4 linked regions of the Saccharomyces cerevisiae S288C genome follow. The gene in region 2 interacts genetically with the main gene of each other region. Each region holds a gene or a part of one and is shown on either strand. Other genes may lie near its edges.

Region 1 (3,830 bases), on a different chromosome or scaffold from region 2:
TAACACATTAATGTAGTTTTAAAATTTCAAATCCGAACAACAGAGCATAGGGTTTCGCAAACAAACTTAAATATATGCTAGAATAAAAATTAACTATCATCTATTGACTAGTATTCATATATGACGTAATAAAATGAAATGTAGATTCATTTTGTAGATTCCTATATCCTCAGAGAGAATTTTTGGTATATCCTATATGCATAATATTATAGTCTTTGCCAACAATCGAAACCAAACATATATCTTAAAATACACCACTTTCTCAAATAAATTCGTTAAATAACGGTGTGTTGAAATGTTTACCGTAACTTGTAACAGCTCTAACAACTCATACCTGCTATGTACTGATTCCAAGAAAAAAAAAATGGAAGGTCGGGATGAGCATATACAAGCACTAAGAAGAACAATACAGAACTCTACACGGTATTATTGTGCTACAAGCTCGAGTAAAACCGAGTGTTTTGACGATACTAACGTTGTTAAGAAAGTAACTTGTTATCAAACTCATTACCAACTTGTGATTAATTGGTGAATAATATGATAATTGTCGAAATTCCATTGTTGGTAAAGCCTATAATATTATGTATACAGATTATACTAGAAATTCTCTCGAGAATATAAGAATCCCCAAAATTGAATCGGTATTTCTACATACTAATATTACCATTACTTCTCCTTTCGTTTTATATGTTTCATTCCTATTACATTATCGATCTTTGCATTTCAGCTTCCATTATATTTGATGTCTGTTTTATGTCCCCACGTTACACCGCATGTGACAGTATACTAGTAACATGAGTGCTACCGAATAGATGACATTTTAGACTTTCATTCCAACAACTTGGTTGACAGAATGTTACGTACCCTATATCTAATCTATATGAGGCCTGAATCTAACTGAAAGGTGGAATTTCAGTAATTTATCAAGCTTTAATAAGTTTGGGTAGTTTAACTGTGCAAAAAGGTATTTACCTTACATACTGAATCTTGTCTGTTTGGTAGCGGCTGCTTTATGGGTGTTTCATAGATGTCCAAAATATATTGAGATATTGAGATATAACATTCTAGGATAATCAAAATTACCATAATTCAAAAGCTCGTATGGCGCAGTGGTAGCGCAGCAGATTGCAAATCTGTTGGTCCTTAGTTCGATCCTGAGTGCGAGCTTTCTTTTTTAGACTACTAATTTTATTTTGCTAGTCATTTTTTTTTTATACTCAAAAAGTAAAAAGACTACGAGTATATTCAAAGTAAAAAACGAACGTCAAACTATCTCGATTAAAACTTGTCATACTGTGGGTATCATATTCTGTGCCCTCAGTGAAAAGAACCAGCAAAAGAACGCGCATCTCGAGTGAAGACGCGCCCTTGATGGTACAAAATTTAACGGGAAGGCGCGTCGTGATGTTCACGCGCTTTGCCCACATTGGGATAGCGCCCACAGCATATCTGTGCTAAACTCACTTTTCCTAGTGACTGCCGATAGCTACTGCCATCTACCGCGAAGGGAACTTCATTTGCGTTCATCGGTTTATTAGAAGCTACTTGGAACTAATTCTTAAGCTTCTCAAGAAAAGTTTTTTTTCTGTCTATCTATTGAAGTCTTTTTGTCTTTGTACTTCAAGAGACTCAATCACCTAAAGCTTTTCACGGCCAATTAGTTGTCTCACACAAAGCAAAATAAGCTTAATAATTAGCAGTAACGCGCTTTTCCCTGTATTTAAAGCCGCTGAACACCTTTACTGAACAATGGGAGAGAACCACGACCATGAGCAGAGTATTAAAAGAAATTCTATGATTTATAATGAAAATGAGAGGCAGTTGTGCAATTCAAACCTAAAGATTCTTCAAAATAAAAGGGCCCTTTCAAAAAATGACAGCTCTAGTAAGCAGCAGGTTCAGGATTCTAAACCAAGAAGGGCTTTAACAGATGTACCAGTGAACAATAATCCTTTAAGCCAGAACAAGAGAATAGTAGCAGGGAGCAAGGCGGCCAAAGTACGAAGAGAAGAAAACATTAGACCTATTGTTAGCGCCGTTCAAAAAAGACAGATATATAACGATCGAACGGCAGCAGAGCAAGAAGAAGAAGAAGAAGAAGAAGGAGAAGATGATGATGCTGCTTCGATAGTGAACAAAAAACGCAGAATAGACGCTGAAGGAGTGAGTGAAATAGTAGGCTGGCAGGACCTAGATTATGTTGAAAAAGATGATACTGCAATGGTAGCAGAATATTCTGCTGAAATTTTTGCATTTTTATATAGAAGAGAATTAGAAACGTTACCATCGCACAACTATTTACTCGACAAAACGTCCAAGTATTATTTGAGGCCTTCCATGAGAACAATATTAGTGGATTGGCTGGTAGAGGTGCACGAAAAATTTCAATGCTATCCGGAAACGTTATTCCTATCCATAAACTTAATGGATAGATTTTTAGCTAAAAATAAAGTTACGATGAACAAGTTACAATTATTGGCAGTTACCTCACTTTTCATCGCGGCAAAATTTGAAGAGGTAAATTTGCCCAAACTAGCTGAATACGCTTATATCACTGACGGCGCGGCTTCTAAAAACGACATAAAAAATGCGGAAATGTTCATGCTCACTTCCTTAGAATTCAACATTGGTTGGCCCAACCCACTCAATTTCCTAAGGAGGATCTCCAAGGCAGATGATTACGATCCGGTTAATAGAAATATTGGTAAGTTTATTTTAGAGTATGCCTACTGCTGCCACCAATTCATTCATTTACCTCCATCTACCGTAAGCGCAATGGCAATGTATATAGCGAGAAGAATGACCAACAGAAACAAGAACGAGCTATGGAATGGAACACTACAGCATTACAGTGGTGGTATCGATCCAATACACGATGAAGCGTTTCAGTCTCTCTGCATTGATCTAGTCAAAGACATCGCTAGTTCCAAAACTCATTTAGATTCATTGATTTTGAAGTACAAGAAACCAAGGTATGGCTCTGTTTATTTCCAAACTTTCAAGTGGTGTACATCCGAAATGCATAGCAACTTTCAAAATCTATTTAATCTTAAGTAGATTAGTACTAGTAATGCTCATGAATTCGCATACTCTTTACATTTTCTTTTCTTTTTGCTGAACTAAAAGGAAAAAATTTTTTGCATCTATCTATCTATCTATATATATGTATATATAGTTTATAGTGATATGCGTGTTCACTTCAACATATATAATACCACCAGTATTACTACTATTATCATCATTAATATTAGAATTTTTTTTGTTTTTAAATTTATTCTTTTATTTTTATTATTATTATTATCATTATTACTATTAAAAAATTATTATTATTAATGTTATTCCAATGTTAATTATAATAACTATACTGAAATAATTTTAAAAGAAATGAAAAATGAGAAGAAAGCAGCATTTTTTAAGAGACTAAGGTTATGATATTTCCCATAATATCAACATCCGATACTGATGCTTTTCTTTGTCTACCCTCGCTACATGCATCCGGAAACGGTTGAACTGAAATAGAATAAAACTTATGGTACAAATCTGAAATTAAAATTAAAAAATTAAAATTAATGGTGTGGTGTTATTAGTGAGAATAAAAATGGAGTTTTATTTTGGAAATCTTAGGCTTCGAATGATTTTTTATCGTCAGTTTAAAAATAACAGAATGAAAGGCGCTAAAATTGGGTGTGAAATTTGTAAGAATAAATGGAAATGTGAAAAGAAATGATTAAAAAGCAGCCATACATTTTATATGGACATTTATCGATTATCGTTTTAGATATTTTAAGCATCTGCCCCTCTTCTCATTCATGCAAGGTCATTATATCATA
Region 2 (4,348 bases):
TATTAGGTCTTTTAGTTGACTCTTCTCTACCAAAATCAAATTATCTGTCCTCCTCGTAAACTTATGAATTTCATCTTTAGATCGTTTTACTTCTAGGATCGCCCTATCTGTTTTGGTTATATGCACTTTACTACTTTTTTGGCCCATTCGATATATACAAAAGCACCAAGTGGAGTTAATTCAGCAGTCTGTACTATTTTTCCAAACTATCTATGTTTTGTTCTTTTCTATGCGCTATATTGTATCCCACAGATAGTAATTCGATTTTCGGTCTTTCTGCTCTTCGGGGTTCCATTTATGTAGAAATAAGAACGATAGCGAAGAGGGTAAAAGATCACGAATAAAAAACGAACGCTGCGTGACAAAATCGGAGCTGTTGCGACTACCGGCAGGATTGATTGCTAATGTTCTTTATTTACTTCTTTTAGATTTCTATGTAAGCTGCTGGTCCATATACAAGTATGCTTCTTAAGAGAGACTGCGTATATATCTTACGTCATTTATTCCCACAGGTTATTCCAAGTCACATTTTTCCTGACAGCGTTAGAGAACCCCTCATTGTATTTCACCCATATTTTAACCGTTTGATTGCAGTCATCTGCTTGGTTGGTTTCGTCTGATCCAATAGTTTTTTGTGTCTCTTCCAATTCCTGAGTTTGCTTCAATAATCCGTACTGATTCTTGAAAAAGTCGATTGTACTTGAGGAAGAATTTAACCCAGTTTTGACTTTTTTGCTATGCATTTCCTGTGACTGTAGTCTATCCTCAGTCACTTGGTCTATATGCCTTTTCTTGGCCCGGTTTTCCTCAATCTTTGCTAACAGTGAACTCAAATTATTAGCCCGTTTATGTTGGACTTCGTTAATATGTTTAGGATTTAACAATACGACTTCATCGATTGGGGGATCGATTGTTAGGCCACCCCTTACATCAAATCCTTCTGACCGATTTTGGATTAGATTCAGTTGAAAGCTTTTCAGCAATTGAACTAATTCCTCCATGATGGCTTGTTTGAGTTTCAGGTTCCTTATTTTATTAAAATCGGAAGAGATCATCGAATCTAGATATGGTAGTATTTCAAAGATTAACGATTTTCTATCCGTAAAACTTGCCATTAGTGGGGACTGAACCGAGATATGTCTCATAATCAGACTAACTATATCTGAATTGGCTCGTTTTAATTCACGTTGTTCGTATTCACTATTCTTCATTCTAATATCATCTTTGTTTGCGATATCGCCAAACGTTTGGAAGAAGACTAGGGGCACAAGGGCGGAGTAACGTAACAATTCGCCATTATGCGCATACATTGATTGGTACATTAAATCATGGAAAAATAGCCAATCTGAAATGTTTGCTGGCTTTCTTATACCATTGTCGGAATATTTTACGTAGGGAAATATATTAAAACAGCCTTGCAATATCCTGTCAGAGTTACCATTAAGCTCTACTTGGTTTAGCAATTCATAAAACTGCTCCTTTATATCACGATGTGGATCCTTTCTAAACAATTGGTTCACGATTTTAAACCATGATATGGGGGAGTCCTTGTTGGATGACGCCCACGTATTTTTTGCACAAGCAGGTTTATCTGATGCAGAGGAATCTCTTGAATCAACATTCGAGGCCAAGAATTGTAAATTGTTTATACAATTCCTTACGTCACCTTGAGCCAAATCAATTAAGTCATTGATTGCTTTTATAGGAATATTCATGTTTTCTTTATGGCAGATAAGGTTCAATCGCTCTAGTAGGGTAGTATCGGAAGGTCTTTTCACAGCAATAATTTCACAGAATGGTTTCAGCTTTTCCAAAGAAGGAGCATATAGATTATTGCAAATACAAATAATAGGTCGCGTAAGCAATTTAGACCTTTTCTTTTTGCGCTTTTTGTCCTTTTTATCTGGTTGACCGTATAATAGTTTATTAGTGGCTTTAATATCGCTTTGCATAATGTCAACTAAAATTCTAATAAATCCACTCTCAATACTTCCATCAATCTCATCCGCCACTAAGCACACAGGATTTGTATCGAAAGTATGATTGAATAAAAGATTATATATTTTCTCTTTTACCATAGGTCCAGCCCTTTCATCACTTGCATTGATTTCTGAGACAGAAAACCCTGATTGTTTGGCAATAACGTGAGCTACTGAGGTTTTGCCTATTCCTGGTGGCCCGTGCAGTAGTAAAATTTTCTTTGGTGGCCTTTTCAATGGATCGAGTTCCATATCACTGACCTCTTTTTCGGTTGGCAATTTGGGTAATTGCTCTTTAAACACAGCCGGCGTCCATTGTCTCAACCAACCTAACATTCTCCTGTTTGTCTTTTCATTACCAACCAAATCTAGAAATTTTTTAGGACGCCATTTCTCTACCCAGAGTGTGTCGCTACCTATCTTGCCAGTTATAGGTGAAGTCTTTTGTGCGTTAGTGCGGTCATCGCCAGATGCCTCAATTTTGTCTAACAAATAGTTTATATTGATGCCGTACGTGTCGTCTGATCTCCAAACAGTATCTGGGTTAGTGTATAGACTAATATTCCCGGTTGCTAACTTCGCAGGCTTCTTCTTTAATTGAACCGTTTCGCCAGTACTTGATACAAACGCGTGAATATCTTCCTCATTAATACCAATTGCATTATTACCAGGGGCTTGTTCTATATCACCAGTATCAAAAAGGGAACTTCTCCCTAGTGAACCAATGTATGGTGCGGTATCAACCATGATCCCTGACCTTACATCCACCTTTTGGGTCAAATAGTGTACACATTAGGAATAAAATATATGAAATCATGTTTATTTACGTGTTAGATGTTCCGTACAACGCGACTGGCTAGTTCGTTTTTTCCACATTTTTTTTTTCAACGTTGATCAACAATAAAATGGTACATCTTCCTTTGTTTGTGTCTTAAGTGTCCTTTCCTGGTATATCGCTTGACCAGCGCCTGTAGCATCAAACCAAACCTTCATCGCCCTAAAACACAATGGTTACAGTATGTTGTTGCTTTTATTTACTTTTTCTTTTTTTGACATTCATTGTGACAATATTCACATTCTTCAGATAGTTCTGTCTATATGAAGCAAAAATGATATATCAATAAGTTTACTAACAAACACAAGTGGTATTACTATGACTTCACTTTAAATAGCAACAAGAAAAGGAATTTTTAGAATCCTACCCTCAAAACTGTCCTCCAGATGCCTTGCCTGGTACTCCAGGAAATTTAGACAGCGCTCAAGAGAAGGCATTGGCAGAACTAAGAAAACTTTTGGAAGACGCTGGTTTCATTGAACGTTTAGACGATTCAACTTTACTACGTTTTTTGAGAGCCAGAAAATTTGATGTTCAATTGGCTAAAGAAATGTTTGAAAACTGCGAAAAATGGAGGAAGGATTATGGTACCGACACTATCTTGCAAGATTTTCATTATGATGAAAAACCATTGATTGCCAAATTCTACCCACAATATTATCATAAAACCGATAAAGATGGCCGCCCAGTATATTTTGAAGAATTAGGTGCTGTTAACTTACATGAAATGAACAAGGTTACCTCTGAAGAGAGGATGTTGAAAAACTTGGTTTGGGAATACGAATCTGTCGTTCAATACAGATTACCTGCCTGTTCAAGAGCTGCTGGTCACCTAGTGGAAACTTCATGTACAATTATGGATTTGAAAGGTATCTCCATATCTAGTGCATACAGTGTTATGTCATATGTTAGGGAAGCCTCCTACATAAGTCAAAACTATTACCCCGAACGTATGGGTAAATTTTACATCATCAACGCGCCATTCGGTTTCTCTACCGCATTTAGGCTATTTAAACCTTTCTTGGATCCAGTCACTGTTTCAAAGATTTTTATCTTGGGTTCTTCTTACCAGAAGGAATTATTAAAGCAAATTCCAGCTGAAAACTTACCAGTCAAATTTGGCGGTAAGTCTGAAGTTGATGAATCCAAGGGTGGGTTATACCTATCCGATATCGGTCCATGGAGGGATCCAAAGTATATTGGACCGGAAGGTGAAGCTCCGGAAGCCTTTTCGATGAAATGATATTATTTTTAAAGACATTTTTTTTTCGAGAGAGAAAAGAGGAGTTCTAAGTAACGATATTTTACAACTGAGATAAGTACAAGTATGCTTATTTACTCTATTCTACTTTTTTGAATAGGCATAGTTCACACTTTTATCTCCTTAGTTTGTACTACTCTTTTTTTATTTTTTTTTTTTCTTCCACTCAGCTATTAGATTATTTATTATTTTATTATCTGTGGTATCATTTTCTACAGCCATACCTTGATTTTAGTTTATTTTGTTGGCAGTTATATACATTTATCTTATAGA
Region 3 (6,117 bases), on a different chromosome or scaffold from region 2:
TTTGATTCTGATCAAGATACTATCATTCTACCAAACATAAGTACCCCTCCACATGTTGGTGTGACCGCAAAGGGTGCTGAATTCGAACCTTTAAGGAGATATAACTCTCACGAAAGTATACTATCTAACAAACCAGCACCTTCTAAGTCGCTCAATCTGGGAAGTTTCTCCGCCTCATTCTTCAGGCCATCTAATCCGACGTTTGGAACTTCGATATCAAATGTCCAAGTGAACTGTCATCCAACTGTTGCAGCGACAATGGCTCCTAGTCGTAATGGTCCTCGTATTTCAAGTTCTAAGGCGTTGTTATCATCATTCATTGCACGATCAGATACACATACGGTAAAAGAGAACAACACAAATCTTAAGCATGCATCTTTTATGGATAAGTTTAATTCATCGTTAAGCACAATATCAGAATCTTTTCAAAGTAAGAGGGGGAGAAAGAATAAGGGCATGAATGAAGAACGAATATCAAATCATAATGTAGCACAGGAACAAAAAAATAATATGGATATAAGCGTCTCTATAGAAGAATTGCAAGATGCTTTGAATACAGAACTGCTGTTTTAATTAATGCCTCCTTTACCTAACCTACTCTTCTTTTGCTCCAAATGTTTATTCTTTTTTTTTTTATTCAGAATATCTTCAAGTTTTTTTGTATCTTTTTGTATTATTATTAAACTTCTTTATAATATTTGTCTTATAAAATCCTATCATAACATGACTATGGCTTGGCCTAGACTCGGGTGCCATCTTTTTTAATGCGACTACTTCAAGACAGCTTCTGGAGTTCAATCAACTTCTTCGGAAAAGATAAAAAACCACTAATTATCAAAGCTATCTTGTCCGCTTTCAAAAAGTTTATTCGATTTTGTTTTCGTTTTCATTTTCATTTTTTTATTATGATGGTCATGGTGGTAGCGGTGGCTCCCTTCAGTTTTCCTCTTTGGTGCTATTAATTTTCTCGTTTTCCCCATATATGTGATAGAAGCTTTTGAACTCCCCACTGTCTTGTAAGACTTTAGAATCTTGACTGTCTTGTTACCTTCTTTAAACTTATCATTTATGTCTGTTCTGGACGCAAAGGATTTGATTATTGATGGATGTTTGAAAACGCCAACTAGTGATGTATCTCCATTTTCCACCTCATCTTCATCCTCTGGGCGCTTTTCTAAGTCAATTATTGTGTTTACTGTTTTTGAAGTGGTCGAATCAGTTTGAGAATTTGTGAATGACTTTATCGAACTATTCTGTTTTAGGGTATATAAATCTTCAATTGCTTCATCATTGCCATGTTGTATCCTTGATAGCTCCTTATCCGTTTCAAAATCCTCATAATTATTACTTTTTAGGAAGGATAAGCTTTTCTGCACAAAGTCTTCAGATATGATAACCTTTTTGTTCTTTTGATCTACAGGTTTCTGTTCATTATTTCCCGTATTATCACCTACATTAATGCTATTGTCCTGAGTATCTAGGTCAGTAGCCGTACTTGTAATGTCTAGGTTATATTCCTCTTCAGCCCCGAAGGGGTTTTTATATTCGATAATATCTTCCACCATACTTTCAAAAAATGCGCTCGACTTTGGGTTTTTAACAAGCTTTGCATCATCGCCAATTTCTAATCTCCTTTTTCTCATCAATTCTCTCCTTTTGAGACGATATTGTTGTAGTACGTCGTCTTCATCATCATCACTTAGTTCTAGCTCTAAGCTATTTTTTGCTCTTTTATTACGAAATCCTCCATTTTTAATGTCATAAAGAATTTTGTTTATCATTTTGATATCCATTTCCTTATTTTCTGCGGCAAGCATTTCTCTGATTTCATGAGGATTGAAATTGTTCTTGGAATAATCATCGATCATTTTTTCTAGGTCAGAATCATAGTCGTCAGATCCTTCTCCATCTGCACCACCGATACCATGCCATTCATCCTCGGATTCTTCGGCTTCCATTTCAAAGAAGTTTGTGACACCTCTTTTCTTCAACTCTTTTATCTTAGCCTCGTGCTCCTTTTCTTTCTGTTTTAGTTGCAATTTCTCTTTGTCAATCAGCTGACGGCGAATTGCTTCATCAGCTTCTTCATTGACGTATACATCATCTTTGACTTCATTTTCGATTGTATTTCTTTCGGCCATCACCTCTTCAATGTTTTGTGTATCTAGAACATTGGTTTCTTGAAATTTGTCGGTATCCTCTCCGATATTATCACCGTAATGGCCCAGATTAATGGCGATCCTTTTCGGTAGACTTTCATCAGCTTTCTCTTTGGGTTTGGCTTCGACTTCGGTATCAGAGTCTGATTCGTTAATGATATGTTTCACGTGGTGGGATTTTTTTTGCTTTAGAATAATTTCATCATCTTCCTTTTCACTATCGGATTCTCTACGATTGTCATTTTCACTACCAGATGATTCATAATCGGCAATTTCATTACCACTCAATGCAAATCCAGAAGACTCTGACCCTGAGTCAGAACCGGAATCATGGGCGTTCAATTGAAAGTCATTTTCTTCAAGTTTTTCCCTTCTCTTCTCTTTTTGTCTGATTCTTTTATTTCTAAGAATTTCTTGTTCTAGCAAGTTCTCTACTATTTCCTTTTCTTTGGCCATATCCTCCAGCTTCAGACCTTTCGTTTCAATCACTTCTTTCTGATGATCCAGAATTTGTTTCCTGCTAGCTTTCCTTAAGGTATTTAATAGTACATTATGATCAACTTTTGGGTCTTTACTTTTATTCGGCCTTTGAGACAACTTTTGATTTTGTTTAGAGAGTCTTGCCTTCAGGTTTAATATAGTCGCCTTTGATAACTGAGAGATTGGCAAAACGCTTTCATCTTTGGATAATTTAATGCTATCCATATCATCATCTCCATATTCGTCACTGTCGCTGTCGAGGTCCAGTGTTATGCATTTCGAGGAGTCAATTTCCCGTTTCAAATTATTAGCATAGGAGCTCAATAGTGGAACCCTTTTCTCATTTATTCTTGTCTCATCAGTTAGATTTAATTCAACACTTTTGTTCTCATGCAGTTCATCGTCATTCTGTACTGGTTTTGGATGTGCATTTTCCAGCTTTATATCATCGTCCTCATTTGAGGACGAATCGTCAAAATCAGCAAGAAAAGACTCTTTAGAAAAAAATTTTTTGGTTGGTATTGGCTTTTGCGGTTTTTTGTATTCGACATTTCTAGCTTTTTCCCTTTTAGAATCTTCTGAAGCCAATTCGCTTTGTATTTCCCGAATTTTTAATGTGTGTGGTACTTCATCTTGAAGTGTTTGTGCGACTGTATCTATTTGGGTTTTCTGTTCCTGATGCGTAGCCTGTGGAATACCAATTGCTTGTGTCTTATCCTCATCATGCGCAGTCTGTGGTGGTACATCCATTTGGGTGTCAGGACCACGATTTTGAATGGACTGAAATAAAGGACTAGTTCCAATAAGTTCCGTTGGAATTATAGGAATTTTCGGCGACAGAGCATTAGAATGATTGCTGGAAGTCGTAATTATTTGGGATTGTGGTTCAATTGATTTTATAGGCTGAGTTTGTGAGGTTGCACCGCTGCTATCTATACGCTGTGTAGCCCCTGGCCGTCCTGTCGTGAGAGGTGTTTTCAGCGCTTGAGAAGTTTCGTTGACGAGACCATCTTCTTTGATTAATTGGGTGGGTTTCCCGTCATTAACGGAATGGATAGGTACGTTAAACACCTTGTCTTGTTGGATGCTGACAGGTATTCTTTGCGTCTGCGTGAATGAAGAAGAGACATTTTTCTCACTGTAACTATTATCTTTAACTTCGGATTTCTCCAGCTCTTCACCACCATCGTAAAGATTAGAGATTAATTGAGTTGGTAACGAATTCTCACTCCTATCTTTTCCATTATTGTGATTCTGTTCGGGTGCTTTCTTGCCTTCTAATCTGTTCTTAACACGATTTAATGTGGCATTGGCAAATAAAAACCCGTTCCCAGTCAACTCTGGCGGATTGTCTATGTCATTGGGCCCATTTCCATTAGTATTATCGTTCTCATCTAGTATGGGAACAGCAACTTTTTTGTAGGTGGTAGTTCTCTTCTTTGCAGTCAACGAGGACAAAGCATGCAAGGCATCATCCATCACTAAAATATTTGGTGATAAGTTCAAAAGCGAATAACGAACTTCCTTAGTTGTTTGTCTGTTCTTGGTTTTTTTCCAACATAATGTGTTTGAAATGCTATTGAAGCAAACGCGTTTTACGCATTCTATCTCTTCATGACGCGTCGAAGAAGGATAAGGAAAATTTCAAGTATTGATGTATATCTCTCTGCATATGAGAGCCAGTAGAGTTGGTGTCCTAGTAAGAATTTCTTTCACTTTACAAACATATCTAAGTAAACGAAATGTGTGTGTGTTTCTATATATATATAGACATATATGAAGGATTCCGTAGCGGTGTAAACTAATTTTGGTTTGGCTTGTATGCTTCTTCTTCCGGAGCTATGAAATCTTTTGCTCTCTCTTCCTGCCTTTCGATTTCTCTTTCCATTTGCTTTTCCTTTTGCTCATTTAATTTCTTCATTTGCTTTTCTCTCTTGCTTAAGAAATACTCACCACTTTCAATTTCCAAATCAACCTTTCTAGGCAATTGGGCAGGAGGAAATGGAGTATAGACCTTCTTTTCGACGTTTCTGATCTTCTTGGGTTTCTTTCTGGCCACATTCCTCTTCTTAAACATGGGCAAGAATCTTGACCAATCTTCATTGGCTAACTCTGGCCTTTTTGCCAATTCTCTTTTTATCATTAATTCCTTGATATGATAGATAGGGTGAATATTTTTCATACAATCTTCTACTACTCGACGGACCTCCTTCAAGCCCTTGAAGGGACCCATGGCACTTACTGTGTTACCTTGTACTAGAATGTAACATTTAGTTAGAAGTTCCAAAGCCTTTAAAGTATTACCGTTAGGGCCTACAAGACGTTGTCTTCTCTTGACAAACCTTTCTTTGTTAGTAACGAAATTACCAATTTTAATAACGTCGCATGCCATGTCATCTTGTAGGATCTTAACGGCTTGCGGGAAAGGAACGGATCTCGCCAATAATTTGATCAAATCTCTGGCTTTCAAAATGATAGCGGGATCGTATGTTTTTCTAGTTGTTTTTACTGTCATAGAACCTTCGACTAAATCTAGAACACACGCTATGTTGTGTTTGTCTAGAGCCCTTGTTACATCATTCCAAATCGTCTTCAAGTAACTTTCTCTGTATTTAGGAAACAAAGTCATAAAACTGGACTCTTCAGCAAAAGGTTGACCGGATGCGTTATCCTCTTCCTTAAACTCCTCTATCTTCCATTTATCAATATCATCCGTATCCCAAGGTTTATCTCTGTTATGTGTAGACACCATCGTTTGCCAATTTGGATATTTGTGTGACCCTTTTGTTTGCTGTCTACTTTACAATAGTTAACCTCATCATCTCTTTTTTTTGAAAATTTTCATATCTCATCGCTAAAAGAATTAGAAATATAAGGAAAAAAAAATTTTCGTTTTCAGATGTGCAAGCCTGCTATAATAAGGTACAATAACTCAAGGGCATTTAGCAAGGAAAAAATGGGCAAGTGTAGCATGAAAAAGAAAGGTGTGGGCAAGAATGTTGGTGTTGGCAAGAAAGTACAAAAAAAGAGGTCGATCAGCACCGCTGAAAGGAAGAGAACAAAGTTACAAGTGGAAAAGTTAAACAAAAGTAGTGAAACAATGATACCGACGCTGCTGCGGGAGGCAAGTACACAAGAGCCAGCTAAACTGAAAGCTGAGACTACTTTGAAAGCCGAGGAGCTGATCAAGGACCAGGAAAAGGACTCCAAGGTACGAGAGCAAATTCGGACAGAAAAATCAAAAACAAACGACAGCATGCTGAAGCAGATCGAAATGATATCCGGCTTTTCCTTATAGGGAATAGTGGTGAAAGTTACGTAAATATATACATATAGAGCGGAATGGTACTGCATATTTTTATTATTTTTTTTTTTGAATATATATAAAGCATCGTCGCTTAAGACTAAACCTTCGAGGATCTGAGGCCAGCGCTGGATCTAAAGATGGCGTCGCCCTCGGCGTAGCCTCTTCCAACAC
Region 4 (6,244 bases), on a different chromosome or scaffold from region 2:
TGACTTTATTATTGAATGATTCACCGATCTTAATATCCAGAGAAGTGGAAATGTCAAACAACAGATCACCGACTGTAGATAGGATAGCCCCCATTAATGGCACGGCTCCCAACGCCCAAATCACAAAAAAAGCACGGCCTGCACCAGTCCTTGGAGCATAGTCTCCGTATCCAATGGTTAATAAGCACAAGAAACAAAAGTAAATACAATTGAAGTACGACCAATTTTCTGCGAATTTGAATACAAGAGCTCCCAATAACCAAAAAGCCATGAAAATTGCAATAGTCACCGACAAAGAAAACCAATGCTGCTTCCTTGAGGCCGTTTGTCGGATACACTTCATTAAGTCGAACGCTTCCCTTTCAGATAAATTTTTACTACTATCCATATAATGTTTCCACGATTTGGACCTGCCTTTTTCAACTCTGTGGAAAAAGAAAATTGGGCCAGAGGACTTTTGAATGATGGATCTTGTCATAAACACTATTAAACCCATCAAGACAACACCAGATAGCGAAAAGATTAAAACCATGATTTTGGCGCCAACCGACTTGGGCAGGATGTCACCTAGTCCCACGGTTAATAATGATACCGTGCAGAAATATAATGCATTTCCGTAAGTGATGTGCAATAAACCGCTAAACATACCCGCACCCCAAATCAACCATAAAGACAATAGTACAGTGTATGCCATGATACTTCTTTCATTGGGCAAAAGGTTGAACGTTGGAGGATATTTTCCTAATTTATATCCAATAAAATGTATTGTTAAAATAATGGTGCATACCAAATATAGACCAGAACTGATACAGGCAAACCAAAATCCGATAGTCTTACTGTAGATGCTGGGCATGTCATTCAAGGAGCATACAATCACGTCCACCAAAAGCATCCCTCCAGCTATTGTCCATCCTGTTATATTTATTAACTGAGATTTAAGATACGTCAACTTCTTACTGAAATGTAGCATTAGTATAATATTTGACGTAAAACCCAGTACCAAAGAGATGATATTAACGGCAAAAATACCAGGAGGATCAAAAACTGTCTTTACTTGATTCATCAAAACATCGGTGTCATTGCTTCGTGGATTTGTCACCACGGAGTTGTTCTTTAAGGATCTCCATTTTTCAACTACACAGGCTATCGAGATAGTGTTAGCTACGGGACCCAAGCAGGCAGTAATCACAGGGAAATAGCATGAAACCACAAACCAAAAGACGAACAGTGTTGAAGAAGGCTCTGCATTAATAATACTAACTCTTTCGTCCCGGAACCGCAATGCATCCTTTAGTTCCTCTGCAAGAACACCCTTAGCTTGCTTCGGTGTGTTGTTTGAATGAGAATCAACAGCCTGAGCTGAGCTCTCTTGCTCCACTGTCGCCATATTGCCATATCCCAGCGTTTGTTTGGCAAAGCTGTTCATGAACCTTGTCATATATATAGAAATCGGTAAAATAAATACAAGAAATATGCTTTGTTATACTGCTAGAAAGGAGTGAAGACATCTGCTCACGATCTACGAGATGCGGCTATTTTTGATGGAAAAAGATACATAGGGTCAGGCATTTTTGCCATATTGAATAACCAAGATGGTACTGAGTACTCAGGTAATGTATATTACATTGAGTACTTCACTTGTATACACAACCACTGCTTCGTATTGTATATCAAGTATCTAACTGTTGATAAACTACAACTTTCTCTTCAACCATAATGATAGCGCCGCTTAAAACATGCTAGGGTAACGAGACGCGAATGCGAAAAACTCCCAAAAAAACCAAAACAAACAAAAGTGACAACAATTAGAACGATGCTGAAGAAGAATAGGAGCGAGTTTAGAGTTACCTCCAGCTATCCTGATACTACTGCTTAGGCTACCTTCGCAGAGTCTCGATAAATTTGCAGTCGGCAAGATAAGAATATTTCTCTACAGCTTTTAGACAGCTTCCTGTCCCTCTAGTTTCTTTTGCCATCCATAATTGTACTCTGCACTTTGAGTATCATTCCAATTTGATCTTTCTTCTACCGGTACTTAGGGATAGCAAATGTCGTCGAACAATGATCTTTGGTTGCATTTAGTATCCCAGTTAAATACTCAACAGAGAGCAGCGGCCCTCTTTGATTACACTAGAGGGCTGCAGGTCATTGCCGGTCCCGGCACAGGGAAGACTAAGGTTTTAACTTCAAGAGTAGCGTATCTTATTCTGCACCACCATATTCATCCCCGCGATATTATAGTGACTACTTTCACTAACAAAGCTGCTAACGAAATGAAAGAGCGTTTGCAAGAAATGTTACGCGGGGCAGGCGTGAATATTTCGGAGCTCTTAATTGGTACTTTTCATAGTATTTGCCTGAAAATACTTTATAGATTTGGCCACTTGGTGGATCTACAGAAAGACTGGAGAATTATTGATGAGAAGGAAATAGATGTCATTTTAGATGATATGATCGAAAAAGTTCCCGACCAAATAAGGGATTATGCTTCCTCAATCACAAGGAAAGTAAATCTTTGTATGCCGAGTAAAAATGGAGATGAATGGACTATTCATCCGAAGCTGATCAAGAAACAGATATCAAAGCTAAAATCAAACGCAATATTACCTGAGGAATACATCTTAGATTCGAATCATGACGCCGCGCTTGGTTACTTTTACCAAATATACCAATCAGAGCTAAGCAAGAAAAATACGTTAGATTTTGATGACTTATTAATGTACACCTTTCGTTTGCTGACTAGAGTGCGTGTTTTATCCAACATAAAGCATGTTTTAGTTGACGAATTTCAAGATACTAACGGCATTCAATTGGACTTGATGTTTCTTTTTGCTAAGGGAAATCATCATCTTTCGAGGGGGATGACCATCGTAGGTGATCCTGATCAAAGCATATATGCTTTCAGAAACGCCTTAGCGCACAACTTTCTAGAAATGGGCAGAAAATGTCCCATCGAGTACTCAACTATCATACTTGTTGAAAATTATCGTTCATCACAAAAAATTCTAAATACAAGCGAAATTTTAATAACGCAACAAAACAAAGGTCGGCAGAATAGGGCTCCACTCCGTGCCCAATTTGACCTGGATTTTCCACCAGTTTACATGAATTTCCCCGCTTACTTTTTGGAAGCACCTTCTTTAGTTCGGGAACTACTATATTTGAAGGCATTGCCAAACCTATTCACATTTAATGACTTTGCTATCCTAGTAAGACAACGAAGACAAATTAAAAGGATCGAAAGTGCATTAATAGAACATCGGATACCCTATAAAATTATTAGGGGCCACAGTTTCTGGGATTCCAAGGAAACAAGAGCGATGTTAAATTTATTAAAATTGATATTTTCTCCGAATGACAAACATGCAATTCTTGCTTCACTTTTATATCCAGCAAGGGGCCTTGGTCCTGCTACCGGTGAGAAGATTAAGAACGCATTGGACACGTTAGCTACCGATGTGTCATGTTTCCAAATATTGAAAGACATAAGTAGTAAAAAAATAATGCTAGACATACCGACGAAAGGCCGTTCTGTGATTGCTGACTTCATTTCAATGATAGAAAATTGTCAATTGTTGCTCCAGAGCACTTTACTAGGGGGTCTTTCAGATTTATTTGATAAGCTATATGAATTATCAGGTCTGAAATACGAATACTTGTACAAGGATGGTAAGAAAAAAAATGATCAGCTTGAAAAATCCGAACCTAATTTATTAAACGCAAGACATAAGAATATTGAACTTTTGAAAAACTATTTCCTGGCTCTTCTTTCCAAGTCAGAATCTTCAGATAAAGAAAAAAATGAAGCCATTAAAGCAGCAACAGATGAAGCCGAACCAATAGAGAACAAGGTCATCACTCCAAAAGAATACCTCCGTAATTTCTTCAATTCACTTTCCCTTCATTCTGATGCAGCTGAGGAGGAAGAGTCGGAATCCAATAAAGATGCAAAAATAAAACGTGAGAAGAATGGGTTTGTCACGATATCTACAATTCACGGTGCCAAAGGTCTTGAGTGGCCGGTAGTTTTTATTCCTGGATGCGAAGAAGGTATAATTCCTTGTGTGTTCAACGATGATAAGAAAGACGAATCAGAGGAGGACGAAGAAGAAGATCAAGAAAATAGTAAGAAAGATGCAAGCCCAAAAAAGACTAGAGTTTTATCCGTGGAAGATTCTATAGATGAGGAAAGAAGAATGTTTTTTGTTGCACAGACTCGTGCAAAATACCTGTTGTACCTATCAAATACTGTAACTGTGGAAGATGTCGATAGACCAAGAATTGCAAGCCGATTTTTGACTACTGACTTGATAAAAGCCATGTCCGATAGCCAAAAATTATTTGAAAGTACGAATAGTATCAAAAAACTATACCGAATTTTGAACAAAAAGCCGCCTGCTGAAGATGATAAACTATTCTCCCTTGACCAATTGCGCAAAGACTATAACCAATTCATTGAAAATAGGAGAGAAAGGATGATTTGGCAAGGGATACAAATGAATGATGTCTATGGAATACAGTTGTCTAGAAATAAATTATTGGGTTCTGTTAGTGATTTCACGTCAGCTGCGGACCAGTTACGACTCGAAACGCAAAACTCTATATTCCCACAGAAGAAACTTATTGAAAAATCACGCCCATCCAAAATCAATGGCAATTACGCTCCTAAAAGTAGAGTTAAAAGTCCAGAAAAAAGGTACGCTCCAGAAACTACATCATTCCATTCTCCTACAAAGAAAAAGGTGTATGCACCTCAATACGTTTCAACAACTAATGTACCTAGTAGGCAGGAGTTTCATTCTTCTACTGGGAAAAATATTCCTTTTCTGAGAAGAGAAGATAGGTCCATCACAGACATATCACCACGATCATCAACGAGGTCGTTAAAAGGAGCATCTCCAAATAAGACGAGCCACATGTCAGATGATTTAATGAGACCATCACCTACGAGGAAGGACAAAGTTACTCGTAATATTCATTTCGCAACTGCAGGAACTTTCAGAATAGAAACCCAGTCAAATGTTGATGAACTGCATCCTCCGGAATACTCCAATAAATCAGGGCAGTCGCTTACGTCGAGTGAATTTTCTGGGTTTTCTAGCGCGTGCAGTAATTCTGATCAGCCAACGAACTTAATAGAAGATATAAACAACGAATTAGATCTATCCGATGAGGAGTTATTAAATGACATATCAATAGAAAGGAGGAGAGAGCTTTTGGGCTCGAAAAAGACGAAAAAAATAAAACCAAAAACTCGAAATAGAAAGTCTAAGAGAGGTGACAAGGTTAAGGTGGAGGAAGTGATAGATTTGAAGAGTGAATTTGAGGAAGATGACAGCAGAAATACAACAGCTGCTGAGTTATTACATAATCCGGATGACACTACAGTTGACAATCGTCCAATAATCTCCAATGCTAAGTTTTTGGCTGACGCAGCAATGAAAAAGACACAGAAATTTTCCAAAAAGGTGAAGAATGAACCTGCATCAAGTCAAATGGATATATTTTCTCAGCTGTCACGTGCGAAAAAAAAGTCAAAATTAAACAACGGTGAAATCATAGTCATCGATTAGTAGCACTTTCATGCCTGACTACGTCAACTATTGGAGGCGGTTTATAATTTTTATTTAAAGCACATAGGAGTTAATTTTATTTTACTGGTAGGGTTTGTATACGAACTACATGGAAATGTGGATGGTGTGTTATTATAGCTTAATGAATATTCTTTTTCTATACAAGAAAACCGATATGACAGCTATGAATGAGCAGTATGCCAACAAAACCAGGAATGATTTTAAGGGTGAAGAATCTATCGTGACCATAGACATATTGACTAAACCAGTAGAGACATTTGCCAACAAAAATAAAAACAACCCATTGGAGTTGATTGATTCCAAGCATTCGGCAACTTTATAATATTCCGAAGAATTACCGAAAATTTTGTCAGTCAAGCAGTACCCAGTCAAAAATAGTAAATTATAAGTAATGACCCACAAAGTATATGGTAAGTTAGCAAACCTTCTTGAAACACTATAAGGATGGTATTGAAAAACCAACTGGCTGATAACAAGAAAAATTGTACTCCATATACAGAGGCCACTTAATGGGGTTACTGAAGTCCAATAGTCCCAAGTCGAAGACTTCTTTGATGCTGCAACTACGTCTTGCGTAGAAGGCTTATAAAGATTGTTTAAAGTTGGTTTATTTCCCAACAAGTAAAATCCCGTGTTTTGGCCCCAAAGAA

What was found.
Region 1: mutations in CTF18 (region 2) and CLB5 together harm fitness more than expected from each alone (negative genetic interaction), as found in Saccharomyces cerevisiae (5 studies listed by BioGRID, with this or other methods).
Region 3: mutations in CTF18 (region 2) and MRC1 are lethal when combined (synthetic lethality), as found in Saccharomyces cerevisiae (8 studies listed by BioGRID, with this or other methods).
Region 4: mutations in CTF18 (region 2) and SRS2 are lethal when combined (synthetic lethality), as found in Saccharomyces cerevisiae (10 studies listed by BioGRID, with this or other methods).

What each region holds. Positions count from the first base shown.
Region 1 is NC_001148.4:773,102-776,931, reverse strand, and holds CLB5 (B-type cyclin CLB5), read left to right. Parts: upstream 1-1,749; coding exon 1,750-3,057; downstream 3,058-3,830. Other genes in the region: B-type cyclin CLB2, read right to left, coding at 3,804-3,830. UniProt on the Saccharomyces cerevisiae protein: Required for efficient progression through S phase and possibly for the normal progression through meiosis. Interacts with CDC28.
Region 2 is NC_001145.3:422,003-426,350, forward strand, and holds CTF18 (Ctf18p), read right to left. Parts: upstream 2,727-4,348; coding exon 501-2,726; downstream 1-500. Other genes in the region: ESCRT-III subunit protein VPS20, read right to left, coding at 1-147; phosphatidylinositol/phosphatidylcholine transfer protein SEC14, read left to right, coding at 2,987-2,995, 3,152-4,057. UniProt on the Saccharomyces cerevisiae protein: Essential for the fidelity of chromosome transmission. Required for the DNA replication block checkpoint.
Region 3 is NC_001135.5:17,989-24,105, forward strand, and holds MRC1 (chromatin-modulating protein MRC1), read right to left. Parts: upstream 4,119-6,117; coding exon 828-4,118; downstream 1-827. Other genes in the region: VAC17 (Vac17p), read left to right, coding at 1-573; ribosome biosynthesis protein KRR1, read right to left, coding at 4,441-5,391; FYV5 (Fyv5p), read right to left, coding at 5,535-5,993; ADF1 (Adf1p), read left to right, coding at 5,596-5,937; MIC10 (Mic10p), read right to left, coding at 6,044-6,117. UniProt on the Saccharomyces cerevisiae protein: Required for normal DNA replication. Phosphorylated in response to DNA replication stress. Phosphorylation allows it to mediate the activation of RAD53.
Region 4 is NC_001142.9:255,375-261,618, forward strand, and holds SRS2 (DNA helicase SRS2), read left to right. Parts: upstream 1-2,048; coding exon 2,049-5,573; downstream 5,574-6,244. Other genes in the region: TOK1 (Tok1p), read right to left, coding at 1-1,438; GWT1 (glucosaminyl-phosphotidylinositol O-acyltransferase), read right to left, coding at 5,706-6,244. UniProt on the Saccharomyces cerevisiae protein: ATP-dependent DNA helicase involved in DNA repair at least for UV-induced lesions. The polarity of the helicase activity was determined to be 3' to 5'.